Linked DNA regions of Arabidopsis thaliana. The protein of the gene in region 3 interacts with the protein of the main gene of each other region in a pairwise test. Each region holds a gene or a part of one and is shown on either strand. Other genes may lie near its edges. The genes, in order: RPH1, AT1G64150, AT3G18250 and AT5G19130.

Region 1 (6,588 bases), on a different chromosome or scaffold from region 3:
AGAGAGACCTGGCAATCATGAACGCAAATAAAAAGAGTGTGAGTTTCTGACACATTATGTTGCTTTAGCTGACACATACACTTTAATACCAGGGATACAAATATATACCGGAAAACCATATGTGAAGAAATTAATACTGAAAGTCTTAAACACAGCTCCCCTCAGTAAAACATTGGTGTGCCTGACACCGGCCCTGAAAATTTGGAAAAAATTAACACATTAAGTTGAGTGTAACTATTATCCATCTACAATGCTAATCTTGTACAGCCCAGCCAAGAGAACATCCATTAGAATGTGTGAACTAGTTGTACTCTGTAAGGGAGTACTAATCTTTACCCAACCCCATAGTTTCTATTAGCAGAGAAACCAATCACAACTTTGTGTTCATAAAACTGTCCAGTGTTTAGGCTTCCACGTTTGGTAGTGCCGACCCTTGAACACAATTCTTTGAGCATATTCAACCATAAATTAATTAACATAAGTAAGAAAAAATTAAACAGAAAAACTAAAATTTCCCTTGAAAAACTGATATACTATGTTAAAACCACAACAGCTCCCAGTAGGAAGAAACTAAACAAAAATCTATATAGAATACCTTGATTCTCGAATAAAAAATGAATATTTTGGAGGAAGAAGCCGCTCTGCCAAGTTATTTTCACTCGTGGACATGATAAAGTCCATATCCTCGAGGTCTGACCTTACATAGGATAGCTGCAATAGCAGAACGACAGGCATGTCAAGACTGTTACAGGTATAACATAGTGGTAGCTCGTTAACAGATTAAGGCGGGTAAGTCAGTTCACTTGAAGGAAAAACTACACTGGCTGTTGGTGTTCATAACCAACTCCCCAAACACGGTCACCACATATTGACAGTTGTTTTGAGAAACAGTTCATCAATTATATGGTTCAGTAATATAGTTTATCATTTTACACTTGAGTGAGACCAAGTAATACTAATCCTCGAAAAACAAAAGACATACCATGATGTAGAACAACACAAGGAAAAGACCAGAACAAATATCAGGGCCTTCAGTTTCCAGGGAGATTCTGAATAGACCTATAAAGCTTGCTATCCAACGAATCATATCGGAAAAGTTTATTGGTAGTTGATAGAGGTAAAGCAGGACAATGTTGAATCCTGCGTAGATATAAAGAACTCTCCACCACCTTAACCAGACAAAAAACGACTAGATTTCAGAGAAGCAGGGTTTGGAAGTGCTAACTTTGCGTAATAATCAATAATCTATCCACCTGAAAAGTCCTGAAACATTGCTTGTCAAGGACCAGTCCACAAGACCGGCACAGCTTCCAATAAAAAATGGCAAAGAAACCCATGATGGATTGCAGATTCCCACTGCCAATTGAACTGCTGGTAACAACAAGCAGGAGGCAACCCTAAGATGACTTCCTGAGTAATAAAGGAGGAGATAACGTCAAACCAAGACCAGATGAACACATGATGAGAAAACGTTACAGTAAGTATTTGGACAAGCCGTATGGGCCTAGTACATTAATTACAAACCTAGGTGTTCGAAAATTCCTGAGAAGTGAGACCACCATGTGTCCCGCCATCTAGCGAAGCCGAATCTACTACTGTATATGTCAGCTAAAGCAACCAATGATGTTAGTAGTTGTAAAGCCAGGAAATACATAACGGTGGGGTTTCTCCAAGACTTTAATCTGCAGAAGCAAAGACGAGAGTATCAACTAACAAGTAAATATTTGTAAGGCAGGAAGATGAATGAAATGATGAGAGTACTCTTACATCATAAAGCCAATAACTCTCATCCAGCCAGTATCTGGTGTATCCCAGTCTTGACCTAGAGCAGCCCAAATGACAAGGTAGACCACTTGAGCAAGAAATACTGCAAAGGAAAAGATGAAAATGGGCCATAATAGCCAATGCCTCCTCTGAAAACGGTATCCTGGCAAAATAAAGCAAGAACCAAAGTAAGTTTGAGAAAGTAAACATCAGCTAATCAACCGTAACTGAAAAAAGCGACGAAAACTGAGAATAATAGACTCTCTTTTTTTTTTTTCTGTTTCTCCAGGCTAATGTAGATGTTGGGCATAAACTAGATGAATCCTTTCACACCTAAACCCCAAATCAAAGATTCCAAGAAACATGTACTACAGCAGAAACATTGGGGTATTTCTTTTGATTAGAGGGAAAACAGGCTTACCAATTTCAGGTGCAATATAGTGAACGAGGAGGAAAGCTATCAAATCAAGAAAGGATATGACACTCCAGTTAATAAGTGCAGCTGTGAGAGAAGAGAAAAATATATTAGGAAAATAGAAGCTCAAGCGAAAAAAGTACAAGCTACGGTGTGGTAGAGAATGGAGATAGCAATAACAAGAGATATGATACCAATGTTTTGACATAAAAACACCAGGGTCGTTTAAACTAGTAAAACTTAATAAAGGAACCTTAATAGAGTAGGTACAATGTTAAGGAGTAAATGAGTGAAGCTCAAGATATCCCATGAGACAAAGAGGAGGACTCTGTTGATTGAAGAGGACTAGCAAAGTAAGGATTTTTTTATTATTATTATTGCAAGCAAGAAGATAGAGAAAGAAACCAACCTGCCAGAAGAAGCGAAGGCAACAAGAAGCCCACCAAAAAACTCGCCATTGGAAACTTTTGTCTTAACGATCACCATATCCCAATTCTCATCGAATTCAATAGATCCCCTCTCTAGCTCCGACCTCAATTTCTTCCAAAAGGCCAACGAAATCAGCCCGCCGGAGACTAAAACGGAGGATAAAAATTTCCAATTCTCACGAATTCTAGCAAGTTCCCGAAAAGGTAGCTGTTGAAGATGTGTGTGAATTTGAAGGTGGATTGCAAATTTGAGAGAATTGGAAACTGGAAATCCAAATCCACAAGCAAAAATCAAAGAAAGATCTTTTCTTCTCGCAATAATCATCATTTTAATAAATTATATTTAGCGCCGAGAAATGGCTAAACCAATCAAACCGTCGTGGGCTCGAGATTCAATTATTGATTGCTGGCTTTTAATTTGGAATACCGGAGTTCGGTTGAGAATTGGACCGGTTCAATAAAGCCAACAAGTTTCTTCTTCCTTATCGCGATTATTGGAGGAGAGAATGAGTTGGTCTCTCTGCAGCACCCATGGGGTCTCCTCTTCCATAGCTCTCACTTATGGCTTTCGCCATAGAAGAAGATCCACCTTCCGTATTTTCGCCACCTCTGACGGATTAGAACCCAAGGACGACCCGCCGGAATCTCCTCTCCCTTCCTCATCCTCTGCTCTCGGTAAAGACTTGAAAAAGGTCCGCCTTTTTTCTATATCATTTACGATTTTTCTGTTGAAACCATAGGAAGACATGAAAATGAAAATGCACCATGTTAGATTGGTCTCTAGTGCTTGAACCTGTTGAAAGAGTTGCTCAAGCTTATGACTTTTCAATTCAAGCAGGTTGTTAACAAGACTGCTGCAACCTTTGCCCCTAGAGCTTCCACCGCCAGTAAAAACCCTGCTCTCCCTGGAACTACTCTTTACAAAGTTTTTGAGGTTCAAGGCTATGCATCGATGTTCCTCGGAGGTGTCCTTTCTTTCAACCTCCTCTTTCCCTCCAGCGAACCTGATTTATGGAGGTTGATGGGCATGTGGTCCATTTGGATGTTCAGTATGTCTCCTTCTCTACTTTCTTCTAACTTTATTTATTCCAAGGCTGCATTTTTGCCCCTAATCCTTTACTTTCTTTCCAGCTATTCCTTCTCTTCGGGCACGAGACTGTCCAAGTAAAGAGAAAGAGGCTCTTAACTACCTCTTTCTCATCGTCCCCTTGCTCAATGTTGCTATTCCCTTCTTTTGGAAATCATTTGCTCTTGTCTGGTCTGCTGACACGGTTGCCTTCTTTGCTATGTATGCCTGGAAGGTATGTCGAATGGTAATTATTGAGGGGCGCTTATATAGTTATATGTGCTTGCTCAGATTATTTTTTTCACTTTTTGCCTCTTACTTCAGCTTGGATGGCTGGAAAGAACAGAGTAGGGACTACTCGTGAATCATGATGGGATTAGAGCATGAAGATTCTTTGTCTTTTCTTCCTTAGAATGGTACTTCATTCAGCTTATCGTGTTAGGTACGTGGGTTTAAGGCAAATGAATGTGAACATTGCTCTAGAATGATATATGAACTAGCCCCTTAAGGAATATTTCTTGTAAATCTTAAAGTTCTGAGATGAATTATTGTTCAAAATACAAGTGGGAGTACATATACGTTTTGTTATCAAGAATGCAGCTGGTAAATTTAAACAAAGTAAAAGAATTGAGTATATAGATAATTCTTGCATCCCAGTGTCTGTTGGTTCTTCTATTCGACAGAGAAAGCGAGAGAAGAAGGAGGCTCATGTGTTTAGTTCTAGGCTAAGCCTTTCCTCATCTTCTCGAGTGTACTTTCGATAAAAGCATCTGATTTCTTATTTATATCATTTAGTAGGGGCCCCAGGCGTCTATGAGGCTGTGGTGGTTTCCCTGCTTCAGGCTGAGTGATTTGTTGCTTAGGGCTGGGCTCACCCAGCATGCTCTTTTCCCCGTTCTCCTGTAACCTCTTCTTTGGGCCGTTACTACCATTAACTAGTGTAATCATTGTCTCTCTCTCTGATTCTGGACTTGACGAGGCAGGGGAATTGTTATCCTCCGAGTCTTCTAATTGCTTGAAATGAATAGTGATGTCAGACATTGATCCCTTCTTGATCAGTTTGTTCCTCTCAGGCTTATCTTCATTCATCTCTTTGTCTCCTAATATCCATAGTTTAGCCACCACAAATCGAAACAGCCGACGGCAAATGCCCCGAGGCCGCAGAGAGCTGATGCTGTCATCATCCTCTCTTATGTGCATTCTCTGTCAAAAAGAAGACTGCAGAAACAGAAAGGTATTTTTCTTTTCTCTCCAGGATTATTGTGCTTGAGGAGTGGTTTTGGTGTATATGAAGAAATGAGTAGTGGTATATCGGGTTTGCTTTGATTCTACGCTTTTGTTAGATGGGGAAATTGAGCCAGTGGAAGCTATGTGTCGTTTTATCCAATAAAAGAAGAAGAAAACCAGAATCTCTCTGCTTCCTTCTTCATCCTCTTTTACTTTAACTGAGAAGCAGTTTCAGGAATATTTGTATCAATCAAGTTTCCTCTTTTCTTGATTGAAGCTGAAGATATTTGAAATTAATGGCAAGTGGTGGGGCATATCCTAAAGATTTTTAATACAAATAGTGAATCATGTAACAACAGTAGATGATGTAGCATAATACCCTAATCTTCGTTCTATAAAATTGACCAAATAAAAGGAAAGCAAAATGTTAGGAAGAAACAAGAAAAACCCACTAAACTCTCAAGTGTACAACCAAAAGACTCTGCTTTAAAAAAAAAAAGTAAAGGAAAAAGAAAGAGCTTCCGTGTGTGACACTTTCCAACTCAACTCACTCCTATCTCTGGCGACGATGACTCACTATCTGCCACTGACTTTGATGATGACAAGAGACGCAGCCTCTGGACACGCGGCGGGAGATGCTTGGCTGGTTTTCTTGACACTGGCGGTGTCCACGGCAAGAAAACTCCAGTGCCAGCGTCTAGCCTCTTGGGCGCCGGAGCTAGCATCACCAGAGGAGAAGGGGTGCCTGGTCTCCATAGGGTGGGCGGCGGCTGGACCTTACCGGAGTCCGGTTTGAGTTTGAAGAAGGTGATTGCGACTCTTTTGTTGGGCGAGGGACACATTACATGCCTAGCCATATCTGCACTGTTACCCCTCATCACCAGCAACGACCTGCGAGATTCATTTTCTGATTAGAAAGAAAACTCGGATACAATCAACATCGGGGGAGTGTTTCCATTACCCTTCCTTAAGTGGGAGAGTGAGTGAGCCTCTGAAGTTGCCATCGTTATCGACCCCGAGTCTGTGCCCAAACACCATGGTTGATTCAGACAAGACAAGAGTGGATATGGGTTGATCCACGTGAGGAGGTTTCTGAAATGGTTGAGAGTGTTCGTCCTGAAAACAATCCCAAACCTTAGCTGGAAGGAAGGATCGAGAGATGGTGATCTGGATTCTGGAAATGGAAGTGTAAGTAAGTACCTCATCGAAGAAGTTGATCACACAGCCATTTGGTCGTTTGTATTCAGGAATCAGACGCCATTGAAGAAGATGGTCGATAACACTTTGGACAAGGGTTGGGATAGGTTCCACTGCAAGGACGGGTTATAAATTAGGAGATGGTATGTATATGTCTAGAAATAGCGGAAGCACCAAGTCCCTGCCTTGTTGTCATTACCAGAGTGTTCATCCGTGGTGTTGCCGAAAATAGGAACTCCAAGCTGAAGAAGCTCTCTTTTGGTTCCCTTGGTGTTCTTGTTGAACAGAACGAAGGTCTCCCCTGCATTTGAGATGAGAGAAACTTACTCTCGTGTGTAAGGTTTATGAAAGAAAAAAAGACGGAATTAAATTCAAAGGATAAAATCACCTGAAAGTTGGTGATTCCGACCAGCCTCTCGGAGCTGATTAATAGAATCCAGAAGCTTGGAGAGTTGAGGTCGAGTGAAGACATCTTGGTAGAGTTTAAGGCC
Region 2 (9,382 bases), on a different chromosome or scaffold from region 3:
ATTCGAATGGTTCAAAAGGTGAGAAGCAACGGTTTGCCCTTTTGGAACAAGAAAAGAGAGAATTCTAGTGCCGTTACGGTCGCGTTCGAGGCGTCTAGTAAGCTAAGTAGCGTTTCGGTGCGTTCTGTGACCGCGATTTCACCGTTGTCAACAATTCATGAGGATATATGTAGCTCTGCTGATAGTAAATGCACAGCGTTTGTGATTTTGCCGTTCCATAAGCAATGGAGATCTCTGGAGAAAGAATTTGAAACGGTGAGATCGGAGTATCAGGGGATTAACAAAAGAGTTCTTGAGAATTCACCGTGTTCTGTTGGAATTTTGGTTGATCGTGGTCTCGGCGACAACAATTCTCCGGTAGCTTCGAGCAACTTTTCACTTTCCGTCAATGTTCTGTTCTTTGGCGGTTGCGATGATCGTGAAGCTTTGGTTTACGGGTTACGAATGGCTGAACATCCGGGCGTTAACTTGACCGTTGTGGTTATCTCTGGTCCGGAGAGCGCAAGGTTTGATAGGCTTGAAGCGCAAGAAACATCACTATGTTCCTTAGACGAGCAATTCCTTGCAGCAATCAAGAAAAGGGCCAATGCAGCTAGATTTGAAGAGAGGACGGTGAATTCAACGGAGGAAGTGGTTGAGATTATCCGCCAATTTTACGAGTGCGATATTTTATTGGTGGGAAAATCTTCCAAAGGACCTATGGTTTCAAGATTACCGGTTATGAAGATAGAGTGTCCAGAACTGGGACCGGTCGGAAACTTGATCGTGTCAAATGAGATTTCTACTTCAGTGTCTGTTTTGGTGGTTCAACAATACACCGGGAAAGGTCCTTCTGTGGTGGGTTCCGTCTCTGTCCCGGTGGTGGAGACGCCATGAAAATCTGGAAACAGAGGATTGTGTTTTCTTTACCTTGAAGCACAAACCATGATGGATAACACGAAACACTCTTATGTATCAACATGCATGAATCAAACGACTCCCCTTTTTATGAATTTGTAAGATAAAACATATTTATGAATTTGAGTCACTGATTATATCATATCCTTAAAACATATGATTTGATGGATAGATTATTCAAGTTGTTAAGAGTTCAAAATTTTGACCAAAGATATTTATATTTTGGTAAGTCGATCCTTTTTTCAAAGGAATACTTCATATAGTAATTTTAGATACTACAATTATATTGACTAGTGGTGTTGTAGAAATATTTTTTCCTACTCAATTTACTATCATCCCATGCATGTGTCCATTATAAAGCTAGATTGAAATTTCAGTAGTAATCAAAATCTGATATTGTATAACACTGTGTTTGGTTTGTCAAACAACACATGACATAACAAATCATATACTACATAATTATCAAACCACATATCGAACAGAAAACATAAAATTCCAATATAAGATTGTTACACACCTTTTAAACTTATTAAATTATCAAAAAGTTTCAAAGGACTCAGCCTCTTTCTCTTTCTCTCTGTCTCTGGAACCATTTAATGGTCTCTTTTAGTAACATTCATAGAGTTTGATATCCATCTTGACCCTAAAATACTTAGCACCTTCAAAGGTATCGGTCTCAAACGTAACAATCCCTCGAGACATGAAAAAATCACCTGTCCCTCCGACAACAGACAAATCTCTACTCTGCACCATCATGAGATCTGCTCCCATTATGTTCAACGTCCCTTTGTGTTGAGTCGAGTTGAACACAAGTGTGTACGCGAACCATGCATTGTAGTCATTCTTCATGTCGTAGAAATAGAACCCTTGAGCTCTTGCCACAGGTTCGGACTGAAAGTTTTTGTCTATGGTCATAGGATCGTCGAAGATAACGAGTTTCCCGAATTTGAAATTCCCGAGGCCCGGTGGGTTGGTAACTGCTGCAGAAGTCGCGTTTTGCACGTCGTCGACACCGAACATTATGTCGTGGTAGTAGAGGACAAAGTTTTTGCACGGTTTTGGTTGCGATTTGGATGGTTTTCTAGCTGATATGACGGTTTTTGTTAGAACAAGGAAAACGAATAAGAAGAGAAACGATTTCATTTGGCCTACCATATTGAAAATATGTGTGTTTTAAATGAAAATGTGAGAGTGGATAATGAGAGAGTGAGATTGACAAAGAAGGAGTGATGGGTTTATATACAACTTGGGTTACTAGTCCGTGTTAATATTAAGTATAAACAAAGTGGACTAGCTCACTTCTTCTCTCTTGTTTCTTGTTTATATATTTATTTATATTAGGTTGGTGATAAGTTTTGTTGATGTGTATAAAGTGAGATCATTTACCATGAATATCTGAAAGTTTTCCATGTAGGCGGCTCAATCACCTTTCAAAACTTTCCACAAAATGTTATAGTAGTGGAGAAATCGTTAAAAATAACACGAATGAAGTACTAAAACAAATTAGTATATATAATACATATTTGATTTAAGACTACATAAGCTTAAAGCTTGTACATACCTTAAGCTGGAGTTGCACGAATTCATCAATAATATCTAAAACAGCACAAATTCAAAAGCAGAAGAGATATTAAATCGGTTAAATATGCAATTCATGGCTTTAAATCATATATATTGAATCAATGAATAATCTACTTGTTCGTCTAAATTTAGGACATTAATAATATATATATGTATAGTCTTTCAGAACTACTAATATATGTAATTTGGCCTTTTAATGATGGGTTGGTGGAGCACTAATAATAAAAACTAAAGAGCATGAGGAGTTTTTCCAATAACTTATAATTTTACATGAATTTATGTCAAACTGCCACTGACCATTAGCATGATGCTAAAAAGTATCGTTATAGATTTTATTTTATTTTATTATATATAAATCATATCATTTTTTTCTATAACTAAAAGTAGAGTCATCTATTTTATTGGTAAAAGTCACGTTGAAAATTTTAATTTTAGTTTGTTAAGTACCCTATGGCTAATATAATTTGCATACCAAACATGTTTTTTTCTTAATGATAATCTAGTCCATTTGTAAAAGTAACCGTTTTATCATCAATTTTTTTTTAATTAAGCTAAGCTTTCGCCGACTTAATAGAACATTGGCATTCGGCAGCCAATAAAGCAAATCAAGTTGCAGAATTTCAAATGTGACATAACTATTCACATTTTAAAAAATAATATCGTGAAACAAAAGAAAAGCAGAACAATAGTAAACAAAAAGACAAATTGTTGAATGTTGACAAACTGTGAAGATGATAACAAACGAAGGAAAAGAAAAATACTAAAATAGTTTGTCCTAAAAAGCCTTATCTGCGAAGGCATTTTAACGAAAACGGGCCTATTGTTGGCCCAATATGATATATAGGCTCGAAACTCGTCACGTGTATTCAACAGTTGCTTGAGTTTTTCCCACACGTGCGCTGTTACTACGTGGACGCGCGCGAATAACTCTAGTTTTGTGGATTTTTTTCACTATCTTCTCAGAACAACACAGAGCCAAAGGTTTTTTGCTCGCAGTAAAGAAGAATCACACTGTGAAGAAGAAGAAGAAGCGAAATACAAAATCCTCAGGAAAGAAATGCTAAGTTTGAATCTCTCGGAGTCGCTTCGCATTCCATTCCAGAACCCTAGGCCTCCCAAATCCGATTTTTCTTCTACTTCTTCTTCTCCTTCCTCATCGTCGAGGAGATGCGTCTCCGCTTATCCAATTCCGATCGGGTTTTCGGTTCGTAATCAATACTTTTCTAGGTAAATTTGATAATTGATTGTTCATCGGCTTTTGAATTTGCTATGCGAATGGAATGTAGCCATGTAGGAGTTTACGTCTTTTCACAATTCTGTGCAGATGTTTGACTCAATTGCGTCGAAATGAATCTCAGCAGCTAGGTTTTCGATGCTTCCAACGAAACGATGCGGCTTGTTACCTCGAGGTGATTCTGATTTTTGTTACCTTCCACCAATCTTCTTTTGGTAGATTTTTGAATTTTTTTAGATGAGATTCTGTTAAGGCCTAGAGGAGATTTCTGAATTGCTTGTTCTGTGTGGATTTACCTAAAATGGTAATGTAGGTTTATTATAATGATGATTGATTTTAAGGTTGAACAATAGTGGAGAGAATGTGTTTAAATGCATAAGCTGAATAAGTTGTTGTGTTTGCTTTGTTCAGAAAGCTGAGTCTGAAGAGCATGATAGAAATCTTGATGTTCTGGTTGAGTCATCGATAGCTCACTCAAGAAGAGAGATTCAGAGAGTTCTTATGTTCTTGGCGGTATCAGGTTCGGTTGCATTACTAGGCACTGATCCAGCTTTTGCAGCTTCGTCAATTCCCAATGTGACACAGTCACTTGTCACTTCTTTTGGAGACCTTGGAGATATTAGCTCAGGTTTTGCTTCGGTTAGAGAATCTTCCTTTTGCACAGAACCGGGAACTATCTCTTCTTCAATTCCAGTACTCTTAAATTTTATTTTTTGCTCTGTCTATGTCTGTGTAGGCTTTCTTGCTTATCTTTTTCTCTGAACTTGGAGACAAGACTTTCTTCATTGCGGTATGATCTTGAGATGTTAATCTACGCTTTAGAAACTCTCTTTGTCATCAATGATTCTGTTGATTGTGATAAGTTTTCATGTTTGTTGGTTAGGCCCTTTTAGCAGCAAGGAACTCTGCTGCTACCGTATTCGTGGGGACTTTTGGCGCTCTAGGGTATGCTTTCTTTCTCAAACAGAGGCGTTATTATGGTCCGTGAATCTTGTCTGAAACCAAATGTTACTTTGAAATCTGTAGAGCAACGTTATAAAACTTGGTAATTTTGCAGGATAATGACGATAATATCTGTAGTGCTTGGACGCACTTTCCACTATGTCGATGAAGTTCTTCCATTCAGGTTTGAGTATTCTGGCAAAAATTATTAAGCAGGTTTAAGTTCCATGATGATGCTGAACGTCAATGCTTGAGAACACAGGTTTGGTGGAACCGATTTGCCTATAGATGATATTGCAGCAGTTTGTCTTCTGGTAAATCTCTTTATTCACCTTTCTTAGCAGAGTCGTACTAACCACGGGTGCTTGGTTTGGACCTTTCTTATGTCTAGCAAGTATATCTTCCTAAGTATATGATGTCTACCAAGTGAAACCAAATGTAGCTGTAACCCTTTTGTTATGAGTTTTGTTTTGGTTTTGGTTCAGTTTTCGATTCGAAGGGTCTTAAAATTGTCATGAAGTTTATAAGTTTCAGGCTCTATTGGGTTTGGATTTTTATGTAGAAAAAGTTACTGGTCTAACAATGAAGATGTTGATTGGTTTTCAAGCCTGGTTTATGGTTCATTTTGGGTTGGATCATATTGTACAGAGCATAGTCTTAACCATGAAACAGTATTAACCACTTTTGTTACATTTAGGTGTACTTCGGTGTTTCAACGTTATTAGATGCTGTTTCAGACGAGGGTAAAGCTGACGAAGAACAGAAAGAAGTAAAACCTCTTTAGCCTTTCGTTCACTCTTTGTATATTTCCATGCAACCTTCAAGAAGTCAATATTTATTTACTTATTATCTACAGGCAGAACTAGCGGTTTCAGAGCTTTCAGGTAATGGAGCCGGGATAGTAGCAGCCGCGAACACCATCATCAGCACTTTCGCATTGGTTTTTGTTGCGGAATGGGGTGACAAATCCTTCTTCTCAACAATTGGTGAGACTCAAAAAGTTCAAATTTCATGATAAATCAAAACCTCAGGTCCAAAACTCCAAAAGTGTATATAATCTTCTAATTCTTTGAAGCTCTTGCGGCTGCATCATCACCATTGGGTGTCATCGCTGGAGCGTTGGCGGGTCACGGTGCTGCGACTCTTGTGAGTTCTTTATCTTTTGATTGAAACTTCTATGTGAACACTTTAAAGATCCTAGCTATTTGGGCTAGTCAAAAGTATCTTTAAGTACTATTAAGACTTAAAACCCCATCAAAGAAAAGATTTTTTCAATTCTCCTGAAACTTGGAAGACACAAGAACTCTAACTTGCAGCTTGGTTTGTTAATCGCAGCTTGCAGTATTGGGCGGTTCTTTGCTAGGAAATTTCTTATCAGAGAAGGTAACTAATTCCGTTCTTTATCTATCTCTATATACATACACATAGACAGTATATACATGTTTATACTTTATATAGATCAAATCAATTTTAGAAAATCATTATTTCACAAAAGCACTTGAAGAATACTCCTTTTTCATTTATAGTGTCAGGTTTAGATTTTTGTTACATGTCTTAACCTGCATCCTGACCAAGTAAAAGGTTAAGAAGAATAAAACTTTAATGGTTGCATTAAAAAAGTAGAAAACAATTAATGAAATATGAAACAAATCCATGTCCTTAGATTATCATGAAAATTTAGGGTGAATATACTAAATGCCAGCATATCCTAGGATATATTCAGCTTTTATTACACAAAAACGAGATACTAATGGCAAATTACTAGCTTTAATCATGGTTTTAAAAGTTCCAAACCACCTTTTTGAGTTTTGTTTTAGTTAGTCAAAGGATATAATTTTTAATCTCGTATTGTGTTCTGAGATTTAACATGATAGAAAGAAAAGTGAGAGATTAAGGTTTTTATTCTTTGGGCAAGTGGCAAAAACAAGCTTCTATGTTCATTGATCTCAAGTCTTCCACATCACTTGGTATCTATTCCTCCCCAAAAAAGAGTCAAAATAACATCTTTTATTGTTTTTATTCTTTCCTATGTCCGATCCAATCTGTCAACAACGCGTTATTATTCCCAAACTAATGAAACTAGCCGCGGAAATAAAAATTAAATCACAAGTATATACTATAATTTTCTTTAGGTTTTAAGGTTCATGATTTATGTTTTATGGTTTAAGGCTTAGATTTTAGCTTTTATGACTTGATAGTAGGCTTACAATTTAATTTATAAAGATTTAAGACCATTTTTTTTATTGTTTTGATCTAAAGTTTAGACTATTTAAAAAACAATTTTGGGAGAGAGAGTGTGTTCTAAAGACGGAAATGTTTACATGTCGTTTGGTTCGAAACAGGCAATTGCTTATGTCGGAGGAGTTCTGTTTCTCGTGTTTGCTGCTGTGACGGTGGCTGAGATCGTTACGTAAGTACCGAAAAATATATTTTTTCTATACCTTCTTGTACAAACATATTCAAGTTTAATTTTATTTTTGTAAAATATTAGTATATTGTTTATTTTCAACTGTTTTTCTGCAAATTATAATGTGGATTTTACAGTTCTCATACGTTAACGTTTACTACCACATTTGGTTTTTAGTGGTTAGAATTTACTTAGATGTCAAGATAGGTAATATGTTATGTTTTGAAAGATGCGTCCAAACATAACACGTGTTCGGGACTGGAAAGAATATAAAGACTAAAAAGAGGTTGAACATGGTAGAGCATATTCTTTTCTATATTCTTCATGTACAAATGTGTATTTAAATACTATAATCGTGCATGTGAATTAAAATTATATGAAAAAGTTATAAATTTATGAGTTCCACTCACAAAGGCCAAAGGAGTTGTTACACCGACATGAGAAATAGGAAGATAATACCATCTCCTTTCTTTTATAGTAAGGTGTAAATTGTTTTGGTATTTTTTTTTTAAATGGTTTTAGTTTCAATATTAAGCAAGGGCCAAGGTGATTTTTCTTTTTTAAAAAGGATTACAGAAGTAAAGCTATATATTGTGCAAAATAAGCATGCACTGATGCACCTACATAAATAGTAGTTTGGATATATTGTAAAAATAACTTTAAAAATCATTGGTTTTGAAAAGGCATATTTCAAAGTTTCTGAAGACACAAATTTTTTAAAATTAATTGACCGAAATATCTTGCTTAATAATACCTTTTCTACACAATGACTACACCTATATAATATTGGAGCATTTTTTTGTTCTTGATAAATAATAGTATATCACAGTGACATAAACTTCAGCAGTTATCTTCAAAAATATTAATTTGTTCTACAATATACACCTTTAACTCAATATTTAGTGATTTGATTTTAAAGTTGGGGGAAATTTCACCTGCATGTTGAATTACGCAAAGCGATTATTTACCTGACATATAAATGGTATTTAACGTACTTTTACGAAATTGAATACTACTAGTAGTTTTGAAGTAAATAGAAATCTAAAAAAGGAATTAGAGAATCTAAATAATACAATTGACCTAGAAAAAGTAAAAACAAAATCTAACGAAATTGCTGCATTTGCAAACGTGAACCACTCTTTTATCGTACGTGGACCCTTTTTAGGTTTCCTACTAAGGACAGCGATAGCCAAAAAAAAACCAAGAAACGACGTCGGTTTATATATTTTTGAAAAATTAAAAACAAAAATCGCAAAAAATTACGCTGTCGTAGATTTGTAGAAGACCTTCCCGAGGGGAATCGTGCGGGACCCATAAAAGACGCATGTGGGGACCACAGTCATAATCACAAAACCAAATTGAACGGTGACGAGCCGCTGCTGCTTCAGCCGCCACGCACCAAATTACCCCTTCGTTTTTTCTTTGCTGCTGATGCTTCCAACCGCCACAAACAATCTTGGCTTCGTTTAAACCATACGTATCCTAATTAAACTCTTAATATTAATATCATTATCTGTACTCAAATCTGCATAACAGAGTACAATGTTATTGATAAAAAAATACCATTAATCAAACTTAATATAAATTTATGGTAGGATAAATTTGATTATCAGGAAGTGGAGGACATATCATGTTTGGCAGTCAAATACTTCATTTTATTTTTGATTAAATTTAGCTGGTGCGTAAAAATGAATTTATGTGTTCTCTGTTTAATGAATTGATTAATGTGTTTGTAGCTTATACTTATGATCAATAGTCAGTCAATACAAAAACATAAAAAAAATATTAAAAGGGTATAAGTGGCACGTGCAAAAGATTCTGATGGCACGTGTGGCAAACCAGTCGTCTTACCCTTGGTTTTTTTATCCTCCTCACCTCTCCTTTCAGATTCGATATCATTTCCACTCCCTTCAAAAAAAAAAGCCTCTCTCTCTCCTCTCCTATTTATACCTCTCTCGATCTCTCTCGCCGGCGCTGCAAATCCCTAGGTTTTTCAATCACACCCAAAACATTTGTAGAGCCCCAAGTACTCAATTTCGCTTATTGATAGAGAGAGAGAGAGATTGAGAATCGCGATTTGATTTTATCAATCGATGCCGTGAAAATCTCGTAATCAGATTCAAAATTGAGGTAAATTCATTCTTCGTTTTTGTTTTTCTTCAGTTGAATTTGCATGTTTGTTTTTGATGAGAAATTCAGAGAAATTTGACTTCTTTTTAATTCGAGACAAAAAAAATATGTCTCTGAGATCGATGTCTGGGAAATTGAATAATTCTGTTATTCTCGTTGCTTTCTTTCCTTGTTCTGTTTCATTTATTTCT
Region 3 (5,674 bases):
CCGAATCGCAACATTACTGACAGAATCAAGCCGTGAAGAAGCGATAGTGAAAGGTGAGAGCAGAGCCACGTTCAGTTCGCGATTCTCTGCTTTAAGCACTCTCACGGTGAAATTCTCCGTCAGGGTTTTGAATTTAGACGTCTTCGACATAACGGTGATCGGAGATTTCGGCGAATTTTGGAAATTGAGAGTTGAATTGACGAGTTGTGAAGAAGAAGATGATGATAAAATCGAAAACATTTTTTGATCTCAGCGGATTCTTCATCACCACCGCGAACACCAATTTGTCGTTCCAAGCCTCGGGCAAATCCCACGGCCAATTCCGAACGGAATCATCTTAACTCCAGCAACTCCGGTTAAATCGGCGTCTTGTTATAAACCGGTTCGGTTCAAATTGCTACGGTTTAGACCAGATCTTCGGGTCTTCACTTATACCGGGAAGATAACACTCAGTTAAAATATATGCAACGTACGTGAGGGGTTTGAATAGTTTATTGAGACATGAAGATGAAGAAATAAATGGGAGAAGGAACAAGGTCAAAACCATTCCCATTCTTTGCTTCTTGAATATGTTTTTGTTACCTTTGTTCCCAAGCCTAGAACCTATCTCTTCTTCTTTCTTCTTATATTTGTTGCTTTTCACATTTTCTCCTAATCCAAATCAACTATTTTACATAGTGATTACATTCATTTCATTGTTGTTTCTTACCGCAGTAACTTTTATCTTAATAAATTTGATCCAACCATGCCAATATTTACGGGATCGTCCTCCGATTCTGAAGACGAAAGAACGATCCATAAAACAACTAAGCTCTTCACTCGTCAACGATCTATTCACTCTATATTTGGAGGTGGTAAAGGTATTTGTCTCACTCTCTTTCAAACTTTATATCGGTTCAATCGGTATGCGTGTGTGAAAGTACATGTTTATATCCATCAATTCTCTTCAAATATCACATTTTATTTTGCTATTATCCAAAATTATCACCAAAATTATAATGTAGACAAACACTAAATTTTAACAACTTGCATTCGTGATTAACAGTTGCGGATATTCTGTTATGGAGAGAGCCGAAAATAGCAGCAACATTGGTGATAGGAGTGAGCATCTTATGGTTCTTAATGGAAGTAGTGGAATACAATTTCATAACCCTAATTTGTCATGCTTCCATGACCTCCATGCTTTTTTTCTTCATTTGGTCTACTGCTTCTGATTTTCTCAATTGGTATGTTTATATCTTTACTTGATTAATCTTTTTTCAATTTCTCATGATCAATTGGTTAAAAATATACAAATTACAAGATTTCCTTACCAATAAAACGACAATTAAATAAACAAAATTGCAGGGAAAGACCACTAATACCAGAAGTTGTACTAGACGAATCTTCTTTCAAACAATTAGCAAGAAGCTTCCATGTTAGATTCAACCAAATCCTCACAAAGCTTCTTGACGTTGCTTGTGGAAGAGATCCTCCTCTCTTTTTTCTCGTAAGATATTATATAGAATAATAATTTTCCACTTATATATATATATATATATAACTTTGGATTCATTATTATTTTGCTTAAATTGGTTACTATATTTCCAGACAACGATCTCGCTTTATATCGTATCCATCATCGGGACATATTTCAACTTTGTGAATCTTCTCTTCATAGGTAAGAAGAATTAAGTCATGATACTCAACTATATATGTAGATTTAATTCCCTTTTATTAATTAACGGAATTAATGGACGTCGTGTCGTTCAGGGTTTGTAAGCATGCAAACCTTACCGGTTATGTATGAGATGTACGAGGACGACGTGGATACAGCGGCGGGTAAGTTGATGAGGAAGATGAAGAAGCTGTACAAGAAAGTCGATACGAATGTTCTTAGTAAAATCCCAAGAGGAACTGTCAAAAACAAGAAATTTACTTAATTCTGATCATTCTTTACTTATAGAGATAATGTGTTTGCTACTGTATTTATGCGACCTCATCAACCCAAATTAATATACATATCTGTTAAAAGAAGAAGAAGAAGTTAAGATCTGATAATCATCATCAAATGGAATAATGATGTGAAATTGTGAAAATCAAGCCTCTAGGGAAATAATTAACAAGAACTTGTTTATGGTAACTTTCTCCAATTAATGATATTGGTCTAGTTTTAACCTTGATGAGTATAATAATAAACTATAAATCGACCAAATCACTTGAAAAGCGGGTATCATCAGCACATCGCTGCAAATCTGTTGCACATTATATCACCATCACATTCCTAAAACCTGTTATAACGTTAAGATTTGCCAAAACCGAGCTATTTTTTTTTCAATAATAATTTTCTTCTATAAAAATAAAATAAATAAACACTAAATCGAAAGCGAAAGTGGTCGGATAAATATCAAGATACGTACGTTTGTTTACATGTATGGGAAAAAATACAAAACAAAATACCAAATTTTCGTTTTTTGTCCAAACCAAACTTTGTCTAAAATAGATACCAATTGTTCTACAAAATTGTCAAAGAGATATTTTGTTATTTTGAAAATGACAATGTTAATAATAAGTGGAGTTAGACTTTTCACTTTTGTTTTAACCTACAATTTCTCTCTCGCTTAACATCGACTATTCTAACACATTTTTCAATCTTCCTTTTTATTAAGGAACTTTAATTTTTCCAAAAATCTGAAACATACTATACCCAAAAATCGATGCTCACACCTAGCTAGTTCAAACTGCGTACGTCAAAATATGTGGTATGGACGTAAAGTATTTTATAAGTTTTGTTAGAAAGTTAGATACTTATAAAATAAAAAAATTGATATTTTTTTGGTAAAAAATGGAAGTTTGGTATTTTTTGGCAGTTGTATACATAAATAAAAATATATATTACGGAGTTATATATTCTTGTTTGGTCAAATGTTTCGGAAGCTTTTAGATTACGAAATTACATAATCCATGATGAATTAAATTTGGTTAGTGGTAGAAGAATAAGACGCCAAAAGAAAAAAGGGAAGAACATTGGGTTACGTCGAAAGTCCTTTGATAAGAATTTGATTTTGCATAGTCAAATTTGGACCAACAACAAAAATGGAGTCCACGTGAAATAGAAGAGAGAGACTTAATAGCTTCTCATGCATAAAGTTATGAACAATCAATGATAACCAATGATAAATAACTAAACAGTACAAAATCTCTGTATTTTTATTGGATTTAACAAAGGCCATGAACAATCACTTCAATATTTATAATTTTTTTAAAAAGACGAGGCAATTCAAGCTGATTTATACATTATGATTAATGATAATTATATTATGGCATTTGACTTTTCTCACGCTAATGTAAATGGTCAAAAATCCTTATCTTCAACTAAACTTCCTCGACAAAACCTTAACTAGAACTATGTATGTAATTTATCAAATATTGAACTTTAAATTTCTTTAAAAGCATAATATAATCTTGACCTATAAAATTAGCCTAGCCTTTCGAATTACAAGTTTTATATTTTTAAAGAAACATAATCTTCAACTAGAAATTATTATAAACCGGGTCCTATCTTCATCTAATATACGTGATTCCATCAAAATTCCGCAGTCAAATGTGTTTAGTTGAGAGGAGGAGAATAGTAGACTAAAATGGATGACTTTCTGGTAAGTCTTGTATTGCAGTCTTTTCTATATTTTAACAAATAAGTCTTCTTTTCTTAAAAAGAAAAATTTAATTACAAAGAAATCTTACTACTGAACGAATAATTTATCAAAAGTCAGTGGCCTTACGTACGAATTTATCGGCTATAAGTAGGAAAGCTTTTCACGTTAAACAACTTAATCTCATCCACATTAACTAGAGAAAGAGAGATGGCGAGACACTTATTAGAAGATGTAATGAGCATGGCCACCACAACAACACATTTCGATGCTAGTTACCTGTTTCATGTTGTGTTCCTGGCTGTGATCGGTTGTTGTATCCTCTCCGCTCTGTTATTCTCTTGTGCCGACGGAGTCTCCGACAACAGAGCCACTTCAGGCACCTCTACCGGTGGCGGAGGTTGTGGCGGTGCCGGTTGCGGTGGTGGTTGTGGAGGTTGAGATTTCATTTTTCTTCGTCAGGAAAATATAAACAGAACAGTCCGACCATTTTACTTTCGTTTATAGATGTATAGCTATCGTATATTGAAGCAATAATTTATTTAGTTTCCATTTCTTATCTTACTGATTGAATTTCTTTAAAAATTAGAAAGACATCTGATACAAAACCCAAACAAAAATTGTACCAATTCTTTCCTTTGGTTACTTTCATTCTGAACCCGTAAACATATCTGAAACCTTAACTTTAGGAGAGATTCATAATTCTGAGAAAACGTTAACTAGTCTCTAATAGACACCAACAGCACAGCCAAGGTTCATGTCTTCATGAGATACAACAAGCAAACCAAACTAAGATAGGAGTTACCATCAAAGATTCTTCATGGATCTGAAAAGCCATAACGGATCAAATGATTGCCAAAAGAAGACGATCCTACAGATTATTTGGTGAGACAAGAAAGGCGCTAACCGGGAAAAGTTTTGTTCAAGCGTTGATGGCATCTGATTCTTTAGACCTTATGATCTTGGCTTGTAGTTTCTGCATAAAAGCTGGATTGGCACGGAGTCTTTGTTTTACATATGAAGTTCTTATGTCTTCAGCGATCTTGTTGGCTTTCCCAGCTTCTTCTATCAACCCGTAAAGAGTTCTTAAGCAGTCTTTCCTGTTTTCCTCTCGGTGTTCAAACCTGTGACAGGACAAAAACATTTCATGATTCAACATTCTTGTCTCACGAAAAGCTTAAGATTTATAGTTATATATACCTCTCGCTGGTGATTGTAAGCTCGTCTTTCCCCGAATGGTATCTTTTCCCTACAAGTTCCCTTAGCCTTTTAGCCTGATGCTTTGAGAGCCCAAGCTCTTTCACTGTAACAGACATTTTAACTTTCCTGTTCTTTGGATGCCACGCATCACCTCCAGGAGCAAAAACTATCCTTGATTGCCACCTGAGGATTGGGCCTTTACCAGGGGGATCATCCAAGTCAGTATTCCTATCGGAAGCATCTGTTTCACCAAATTGGGGAGGACCCTCAGCTTCCATCTGATCCCCATACTGAATTACCATCTCATCTTCAAATTCCTTAAAAAGCTCATAAGCTGCTTCAGCCTCAATTTCACCTCTTTCACACATATCTCCAAGCTCATTAAACTTTGCTTCAACCTTTTTCTTCAAGTCATCTGAATGAACATACACAGTTAGAGAAATGTTCATATGTACGCATCACAGGAACAAACCAATATATTCTCTAAACGGCCCTACTGATCCGAGAAGTAACATATCTGGCATAGTACATTACCTTCTACGAGTTAAAAAAACGAATGGTTCTCAACTTCTCATACCATGATTCAGAAAAATCCAAATAGAAAGGTTAACTACAAAAGCTAAGTTCCACGAAGAGATTGTGTTTAGCTATAACGACGCACATTAGTCTATTAATCAACCTAATCTATGTCTAAGGATGTGAGTCGATGAACGGGAAGATTGAAAATAAACGAGCCATTACCAGGAAGAAGCTGGTCCCATTTGAGCATATCCTCAAGAATCTCCTCGCATTCTTTAGTATCAGTAAGACACCCATGTTGGATACCTTCTCTAATCATGTGA
Region 4 (8,309 bases), on a different chromosome or scaffold from region 3:
TCAAATCGTCTCCTTTTTCTTTTGAGCTTTTAATAAAATGGATAAACATTGACCAAAACAAAATAAAAAGAAAAGAAAAAGTCCCCACCAAAGAGCGAAACGACACAACAAGTCTACTCAGCACTTACCTTAAAATGAACCAATCCTTATCGTTTCAGTTTTTTCACATTCACAATAAACCAGCGTCGGCCCACCGCATCCCAAACCATAACGCTTAATCCTTAAAAACCGTCCAGATCCATTTCCTTCCTCTAAAACTCATCACACACACTTCTAATGGCTTCTTCTTCTTGTTTGAATCTCTTCTTCTTCTCTTTTCTCTCCGCTCTAATCATTTCTAAATCTCAGATCTCTGATTCCGTTAACGGGGTCGTTTTCCCTGTTGTTAAAGACCTTCCAACCGGTCAATACCTCGCACAGATTCGACTCGGTGACTCACCGGATCCAGTCAAGCTCGTAGTCGATCTGGCCGGCTCAATTCTCTGGTTTGATTGTTCCTCAAGACATGTTTCCTCGTCAAGGAACCTAATATCCGGTAGCTCTAGCGGCTGCTTAAAGGCAAAAGTTGGAAATGAACGAGTATCATCATCATCATCATCGCGTAAAGACCAAAACGCCGATTGCGAATTACTTGTTAAAAACGACGCCTTTGGGATTACGGCGAGAGGAGAGCTTTTCAGTGACGTCATGTCGGTTGGCTCTGTTACTTCTCCGGGAACCGTTGATCTACTTTTCGCTTGTACTCCACCGTGGCTGTTACGTGGGCTCGCTAGTGGAGCCCAAGGAGTAATGGGCTTAGGAAGGGCCCAAATCTCACTCCCTTCACAACTCGCCGCGGAAACTAACGAACGTCGTCGGTTAACTGTTTACCTGTCGCCGTTGAACGGTGTCGTATCAACGAGTTCGGTGGAGGAGGTTTTTGGAGTGGCTGCGTCTAGATCGCTGGTTTACACGCCTTTGTTAACCGGTTCGAGTGGCAACTACGTAATTAACGTGAAATCGATTAGAGTCAACGGGGAAAAGCTCTCCGTGGAAGGTCCGTTGGCGGTGGAGCTGAGCACGGTGGTTCCTTACACGATTTTAGAGAGCTCGATCTACAAGGTGTTCGCGGAAGCTTACGCCAAAGCTGCGGGTGAAGCTACATCGGTGCCTCCTGTCGCACCGTTTGGGCTCTGCTTCACTAGTGACGTAGATTTTCCGGCGGTAGATCTAGCGTTGCAGAGTGAGATGGTGCGGTGGAGGATTCATGGGAAGAATCTGATGGTGGATGTTGGTGGTGGAGTCCGATGCTCGGGGATTGTTGACGGCGGGTCAAGTCGAGTCAACCCGATTGTAATGGGTGGGCTACAATTAGAAGGCTTTATATTGGACTTTGATTTGGGTAACTCAATGATGGGCTTTGGACAAAGAACACGCTCTGATTCAACTTCGTTGTAATACAGAAACCTTTGTAATTGTAACCTTCTAATTATCTGGTAGATATCCTCAATTTTGATCTCTTTTGAGTGTACTCTTTTCTTACAATACCTGCTACAAGCAATCATGCATTTGTACAACTAATAGATCTAATTTAAGAAACAGCTATTACTTAAATGAAGTAAAAATACAGTGCTTAAAACTAAAAATCAATACAAAAAACAGAAACTTCACTCATTCATCGCATTTTTAGTTTTCTAACGATACATCAGACCTCTAACTGCTAATTACCATGCGACAACTAGAACATATGACAAATTCCAACAAGTGTGGACAACTGTCACCGAAGTAAAGGAAATAACTGTGACCTTCCTTGTATGGAGATTGGGACGTAAAATAAGAATTAAGAAGGATGAAACAAGATGCAGAGGCAAAGGAGCCAGCAAGGAAGATGAACCATACCTATGTATAGATATGTTGCACTCTTCCACGCCCAAAGCGACTCTAACCATGTCCAAAACTCTCCTCCAAGACTCAACCCTACGAGGCCTTCTCCAAGCAACCCTTTAGAGATTGCAAAAAACATGACCGGGAACCCGATTGTCAGCAATACAATACTGCAAAACGCACCCAACAGGCTCTTAAGGCGTCTGGATCTCAAAGCGGGTTTTATAGGCTGAGCCATAAGACACGTTGGCACTAGTAGCAACGCTCCAATCTCTGCGGTGGCAAAATTGATTATGGACATGAGGCATAGGCCGATGAAGGCAGCTGAGATGGTCACTGATTTCAAGATGGCCCAGTTGGTTCCATGGAGTCGAGAGGAGAACGGAGAGCAACCAGGCATTGTGACAAAGGTTATAAGGAGAAGCGACGAAGAGGTAGTGCCCCACATGATGGAGCGGTTTGTTGGAGAATGTTGGCCCGGTACTTGACAGATGAAATAAGGTAGCAGCGTGACAATGAAACCCAACAAGTGCAAAGTAAAGACCTGTTTCGCTGCATCTAGCCATTTCCAAGACTTGAAGTTTTCGGTTGGGTTATGAGTGGAATTGGTAAGAGATTTACAGCCATCGATGTATAAAGAGGCTGCGACCATTGGAAGAGGGGCAACAAGAAGAGCAAAGGCAATCATGTAGACTCCTACAGAGATAAATTTGCTTGGCGAAGTTAACATGTAAAGGAAAAACGATTGATGGAACTTCTCAAGGAGGTTGTTCACTGATCTTATAGTTCCTTCCAGTAACCTGCGTTTAAAGAGAAAGCACAGAGTTATCATCGAACACTCATACAGAGTCAATGAGTAGAAAACATTAAAACTCTTAAATTCCACTGTAGCATAAATGATATATTGTAGTACTTTAGCATTACAAAATGCACATACACTAGCAGAGGTAGGTAAACGGTATAAAATGGGAACGAATGAAAATATAAAAACAAAAACTCACCGGGCACCTCGTAGAAAGAAATCGTGTTGTCTTGTCTTACTGTCAGGAGGAAATCTAGGTGAAACTTTCAAAGTTATAGCATCAACTTGATAATCGCGGAAAGCTCCATGGGGACCAGTTGGGATACCAAGGGCCTGATGAGAATGAATAACAAAAGAAAGAAACATTTTCTGTCAGCTTTCAAGGTCTTTCCTAGTTAAAATGTATCAGTGTGACTGCAACCACAAGATGCCAAGAACTTAATTAAGGACAGATCAGTTGTACATTTTACCTGGGAGTACAGTGAACTTGCAAGGGTAGCACTGCCTTCAAGATAGTCTGCAGCTGGGATACCAAAATTCCAGTCCGGATTTAACATATGCGCCAATTTCCCAACAGCTTCAAATATTTCCCCAAAAATCTTTAGCCAACTAGAGGAAAGTAAAGATACAACCTTCTCAACCTTGACATAAAACCCCTGCCTGTGCACCGCTAAGTAATTTACAACATTGATGAGGTCGAGATTTGGCATCTGCCCATTAGATGCCTCTGCATAGATACTTAGTGTGTCCTCAAACTTTTCACTTCTACCATCAACCTTCAAAACCAAAGCAGCAGCCATTGTTCCAGCTCGTCTGAAGTTATCAGCTGTATTTTGCTCGTCACACTTCAGAAGATCCGAGACCTTAAATGAAGGTGAGTGGTATTCAGTTAACCACGCAGCAACAGGCCTATAGTCTCCATAACGAGAATCAGCGACAAGCCATATTATGTCTTTGGAAAGCCAGGTAACTCTAGAGAGCAAGGAAAAAAGAGAACTGACAATTCCTAAAGACAAATCCTCATAGTCTCCACCATTTATAAAATCATAGGGAGTAACCAGCACAATAGACTCTTTTCCATCACCACGAGGGGCTCTTATAATCCCCGCAACATTGACCCCATAAGAAGCACAACTGACATTCTCCAGCAATGTATATGAATCTGGACCGGAGAAAAAGTGCAGGGGGTGAAATTGATTCCCTTCAGGATGGAACTTTTGATAAGAAACTTCTGCACCCATATCTGACATGTATTTTCCAATGAGCTTTTGGACTTCACTAGAAAGAAAAATCACACAAATGGAGAAACATTAAGTTACTTGGGCTAGGACCAAAACAGAAGGACAAGTAAAATTCTTCATAACGTAGGAGAAAGCTCTATTTCATGCGAAAACTGAGGGAAGAAAAGACATACACACCCTGGCCTTCATGATTCAACCTAAAGTTCTTTATGTCCTTCACCAGTTTGCTTCCATCAGAAACATCTCGATTAGAGAGCATAGACCGTGCAGAGCCTGAGGATTAGAGTCAAAATAGAAAGTGTAAAACACCAAACAACAACGCATTCAAAGTTGGCAAGCCATAAACTCACATGACTCAACAGTTTTAAACCCTTCTACAGATTCCAATCGTATAGAACACTAATTCCAGGTTAACATGTACAGTATCCAAATGTGGACTTTAATTGAATTCTAAGGTATGTAACAAAACCTGGCATTAGAGCATTCTCGGAGATGTAAGTGTTCTTTGCCAGTAGAGGCAAAAGCAGCAGCGCCAAAACCCCAGCAGCAGAGAAAACCACACTACAAACACAATCAGATCATCAATGAACCAAAAGAGAAAGAATCAAAACATAGAAACTAGTGGAGTAGAAGAGAAAATTATGGTTGAAGATTTACCTGAAAACAGGACTGTGAGCGATGAGGAAGATTCCGAGCCGAACGATTGGTCTCGGTTTGATTTTAGGAGATCCATCATCGGTCTTCACTTCCTCTTCATTATCCCGGTTCACCGCTGCCATGATTCACAGATCTTCGATCAATTTCGGCAGATTCGAACCTACGACGAACTGTGATCTCCGTGGCTTGGGAATTGTAGACGACGGTCAAGTCGGGTCAGCCCGAATAGGGTGGGTGGGCTTAAATTTAGAAGGCTTTGTAATGGACTTTTATTTGGGTGATGGGCTTAAAGTCAGATTAAGATGGTGCAGAATTTTCTTACATACCAAATATAATTGTTATTTTGATTACAAAAGTATATTTATATTTGTTCTTAATTTTAAAAATAAAATGGATAATATCAGTGTTCTTAATTTGTATCTTATTTTAAAATGAAGAAACACTTTTACAATTATGTTATTATCCATTGACTGTTATAGATTTTTTTAAATATTTATTATTATAAATGACCAGTATATGGTATTTTTGCTATTACATCATAGCAAGATGGGAACATGAAATAGTGGGCTATACAGTGCAGTCCATATTATCGCATCAAAGAAAAGCAAAAAAGAAGAGAAACTGCCAAAAGAAATAATGAAAAGTCATGATATGATCCGAAACCAAAAAAGAATATCAAGAAAAAAGAAAAAAAAAGATATATACAGCTGCATAGGAAGTGTTTGTGGGGATGCATAGAGATTAGAGATGATCGAAGCTTAGGTGATTGAGATGGTCCAATAACAAATTTGTTCATTTGAATGATACTGAAGCCTCTAGATCGACCACATATACATCATATTGCTTTTAAAACGCGAGAATATCATAGTTTTGATATGAAGAAATCATTTTTCAACAAACATTTTCTAGAGGATTCTTTCTTAGAGAAATATATGAAATATAGATATATAACGTAACTAGATTTTTACCCGCGGTATACCGTGAAAACAATTTATTTTTTTAAATTAATATATATATAAAAGTTTGTAAATTGTATCTATTTATAAAATGTTTTTATTGTATAGTTTACAATTTTTATTAAGTAACGTCCTGCCAAACCCGTCTCGCCAACCCGTCCTCTAAAAAAAACTCATTTATTTTATTAATGTTGATCTTATTTATGATATGTTTATGAATTATTGTCTAAATATTTTGTAATTTTATAGTAATTAAATGCTATCAAATATCTATACGGTTTGATGATTATAATCATGGAGAAAAAATATCAAAAATGATAATTTTGTAGTAATTAAATGATATTAAATATTTTAGAAGTTTTATTTTAGTAATTAATCGTGTAGTTAAGGTAGAGAGATTTTGGGAAGATTGTTAAATGTCAAATATTTAATTAGAAGATTTTCTTTCTAATTATCAAAAACAATTATTAAATGCCAGTGACAGCCGCTGTAAATAAATCCCAACTTTAAAATTTATTTCATAAAGTGGCTGCAAAAATGTATATATAAATAGTTAATACCATTCATTATGTTTGGATAATGGTATGTGGCAACAAAAAAATCTTCTATATGTCATGTTCAAATGAGATAATTTTCTTTGAAATAATATTTGTAAAAGATAATAAGCAAAACAATATCAAAGTCGTTTTCAGCTTTTGTAGTTCCCACTCCCAGGCCCATGGTTGGCTTTGCTCGGTCTTTCTTTCTGTTTTCTACGATTGTATTTTGAATAAATAAGTAAATAATACAAACTAGTGGCTGTATTTTATTTTACAATTTAATAAAATGATAATGACGTTTATAATATCAATACAAATATGCCATTCACTGTTTTGCTATTCAATTTACGTTATATTATTGATCAATATTGCGTTTTATTTTTTTGTGTATATGATTTTAATATAGTTTAAATTCTATAGAAAAGTCAAAAACATAATATATACATGATAATCAAAATCTAAAATCATCCATAGACGTGGTTCAATAGCTAAAGCAGTTAAGTTATGGTATTTAATATATGCAGTTTAATCTACAGTAACCGCGAAAAAGGAATTTTTTTTGTTCTGTTTGATTCGACCGATAAAAACGATTTTACATGGGTCGGATAAAACATAAATCAGTTATTTTGTTTAACAAAGTTTTAAAAACAATTTTCTCAAAGTGTGCATGTTAAAATTTACATCTATTATAAAAAAAAACATAAAATCAATTTATTCATTATCAAATTGTTTTGAATAAGAAATCCAATTAACTCAACAACCTCAAACTATACATTTTTAACATTTATGTTGGTCTACCTTGTGGTCTCTGATATTTGGCACGAAATAGTATAGGTCTTTTTTATCTTATACATTTCTAGGTTGTTGTCACCAAACCATTTATGTATTATTTTATGGTTTTCCCTTTTTGTGTGTGTGTGATATTTTTCTTAACAAATGGTCGAAAATCTTCAGCAACTCAACCATCTTTCTGTTCAAATAAAGGCTTACTTTCTTCCTTGGAATTCAATAGTTTATTTAGGTTATGTAATTCGGAACAAACAATATGAACAGTCTAAAGTTGGCTGATATGAAATATGAAGACCGTGGGCCAAACCCCGAAACATAAACAACGGGCGTCGACTGTTCGTCTAGTATTCTTTCTTTACATTTCCAGTTGAAAATATTATTACAAAAACTTCAAATTATTGATTAAATTACGTAGGACATGGTTTTGAATCTCTAGTTTCACAAATGGGCAAACGAAATTGAATAAGTTCTTCTCAAGGACGAAAATTTTGATTTTAAATTTTTTAATTATGATCAGCATGCAGCCAATTATTACATATAGATACCCAAGATGGCAAGATCCAACAATCATCGTACTAATTCGTTTTTAATTATATACTGATATACACAGAAATATTTGGATCACGTTGCTGTTGTATTTTATTTTTCTAAAAGAGGTTTATTGTTTATCTGACAAATCTTATTCTCTGGATGAAGTTAATTTATGTAAGAAAAGAAAGATTCATAAAGTTGATGATACTACAAACCAATCGTTGATGATAAATGTCCATTTAAATTAGGTTCAAGTTGCTTTCAGATCACAATCTCTCCCTCCCTCCTAGTTCATTGGCTCATAAAAAACACATATGATATTTTTTTCAAACTATAATAATACTATTTTAAAGCATGGGATAATAATTATACAAATAGTTAGAGAGTATGCTTTTGTTAGAAAAAACTAGAAAAACAAATATGTATACTGGTTTTGAAACACTCTTAAGATCGATTGTCAAAAAAAAAAAAAAAACACTCTAAGACAAATATAATTTCTCTAGTAATGGTTGGTGATTTAAATGAGAAAATAGAAAGAAAGTGGTGACACATCCGCTTGATTTAATTGACAGATTTGTTTCTCTTTTCGAAAAAAATTATCACCAATTAAATTTTTGTCAACGTTTTATTTATGTTTAAATAGACAGATTTTTTTCAAAGAAAATATCGATGGATTAAGAAAAATCATAACTTGTATAAATAGATTTTTCAATGGATAAAAAAAAAATCATATTTGCCCCAAAAAGAAAAAAATCATATACTGTACCCTTTATTCACACCCTACAAGTTATGTTTCCCACCTGTTAATTACATATTTAGTTTCAGTTATGATTTTTTGCTGGTTTTCTTATAAAGGGTAAACAATCAGGGGCAGAGATACATGCATAGCAAGGGGGTTAATTGACCCTTATGAATTTATAAAAACTATTTA

What was found.
Region 1: the proteins of AT3G18250 (region 3) and RPH1 interact in a protein complementation assay, tested with the Arabidopsis thaliana proteins (one large-scale study listed by BioGRID).
Region 2: the proteins of AT3G18250 (region 3) and AT1G64150 interact in a protein complementation assay, tested with the Arabidopsis thaliana proteins (one large-scale study listed by BioGRID).
Region 4: the proteins of AT3G18250 (region 3) and AT5G19130 interact in a protein complementation assay, tested with the Arabidopsis thaliana proteins (one large-scale study listed by BioGRID).

What each region holds. Positions count from the first base shown.
Region 1 is NC_003071.7:19,659,750-19,666,337, forward strand, and holds RPH1 (resistance to phytophthora 1), read left to right. Parts: upstream 1-3,067; 5' UTR 3,068-3,113; coding exon 3,114-3,299; intron 3,300-3,445; coding exon 3,446-3,656; intron 3,657-3,738; coding exon 3,739-3,920; intron 3,921-3,997; coding exon 3,998-4,024; 3' UTR 4,025-4,153; downstream 4,154-6,588. Other genes in the region: AT2G48060 (piezo-type mechanosensitive ion channel component), read right to left, coding at 1-8, 109-193, 596-711, 983-1,169, 1,254-1,410, 1,525-1,682, 1,768-1,927, 2,186-2,266 and 1 more; AT2G48075 (uncharacterized protein), read right to left, coding at 4,394-4,873; AT2G48080 (oxidoreductase, 2OG-Fe(II) oxygenase family protein), read right to left, coding at 5,443-5,791, 5,862-6,016, 6,101-6,210, 6,297-6,398, 6,486-6,588. UniProt on the Arabidopsis thaliana protein: Plays a positive role in the immune response to the oomycetes P.brassicae, including induced oxidative burst (e.g. H(2)O(2)) and enhanced expression of defense-related genes.
Region 2 is NC_003070.9:23,806,733-23,816,114, reverse strand, and holds AT1G64150 (Uncharacterized protein family (UPF0016)), read left to right. Parts: upstream 1-3,389; 5' UTR 3,390-3,535; coding exon 3,536-3,705; intron 3,706-3,802; coding exon 3,803-3,887; intron 3,888-4,123; coding exon 4,124-4,351; intron 4,352-4,448; coding exon 4,449-4,502; intron 4,503-4,595; coding exon 4,596-4,657; intron 4,658-4,769; coding exon 4,770-4,838; intron 4,839-4,916; coding exon 4,917-4,968; intron 4,969-5,351; coding exon 5,352-5,423; intron 5,424-5,510; coding exon 5,511-5,640; intron 5,641-5,729; coding exon 5,730-5,800; intron 5,801-5,989; coding exon 5,990-6,037; intron 6,038-6,996; coding exon 6,997-7,068; 3' UTR 7,069-7,280; downstream 7,281-9,382. Other genes in the region: CHX16 (cation/H+ exchanger 16), read left to right, coding at 1-876; DIR5 (Disease resistance-responsive (dirigent-like protein) family protein), read right to left, coding at 1,504-2,052. UniProt on the Arabidopsis thaliana protein: Mn(2+)/H(+) exchanger, which transport Mn(2+)from the chloroplast stroma into the acidic thylakoid lumen. Might be a chloroplast-localized Ca(2+)/H(+) antiporter. Regulates Ca(2+), Mn(2+) and pH homeostasis. Required for chloroplast development.
Region 3 is NC_003074.8:6,256,576-6,262,249, reverse strand, and holds AT3G18250 (Putative membrane lipoprotein), read left to right. Parts: upstream 1-3,823; 5' UTR 3,824-3,842; coding exon 3,843-4,073; 3' UTR 4,074-4,190; downstream 4,191-5,674. Other genes in the region: CYP77A5P (cytochrome P450, family 77, subfamily A, polypeptide 5 pseudogene), read right to left, coding at 1-240; AT3G18260 (Reticulon family protein), read left to right, coding at 746-860, 1,046-1,226, 1,348-1,489, 1,591-1,660, 1,753-1,922; AT3G18240 (Ribosomal protein S24/S35), read right to left, coding at 4,555-4,756, 4,833-5,247, 5,574-5,674.
Region 4 is NC_003076.8:6,414,309-6,422,617, forward strand, and holds AT5G19130 (GPI transamidase component family protein / Gaa1-like family protein), read right to left. Parts: upstream 4,805-8,309; 5' UTR 4,686-4,804; coding exon 4,564-4,685; intron 4,468-4,563; coding exon 4,376-4,467; intron 4,180-4,375; coding exon 4,080-4,179; intron 3,944-4,079; coding exon 3,136-3,943; intron 2,999-3,135; coding exon 2,865-2,998; intron 2,664-2,864; coding exon 1,820-2,663; 3' UTR 1,612-1,819; downstream 1-1,611. Other genes in the region: AT5G19120 (Eukaryotic aspartyl protease family protein), read left to right, coding at 277-1,437.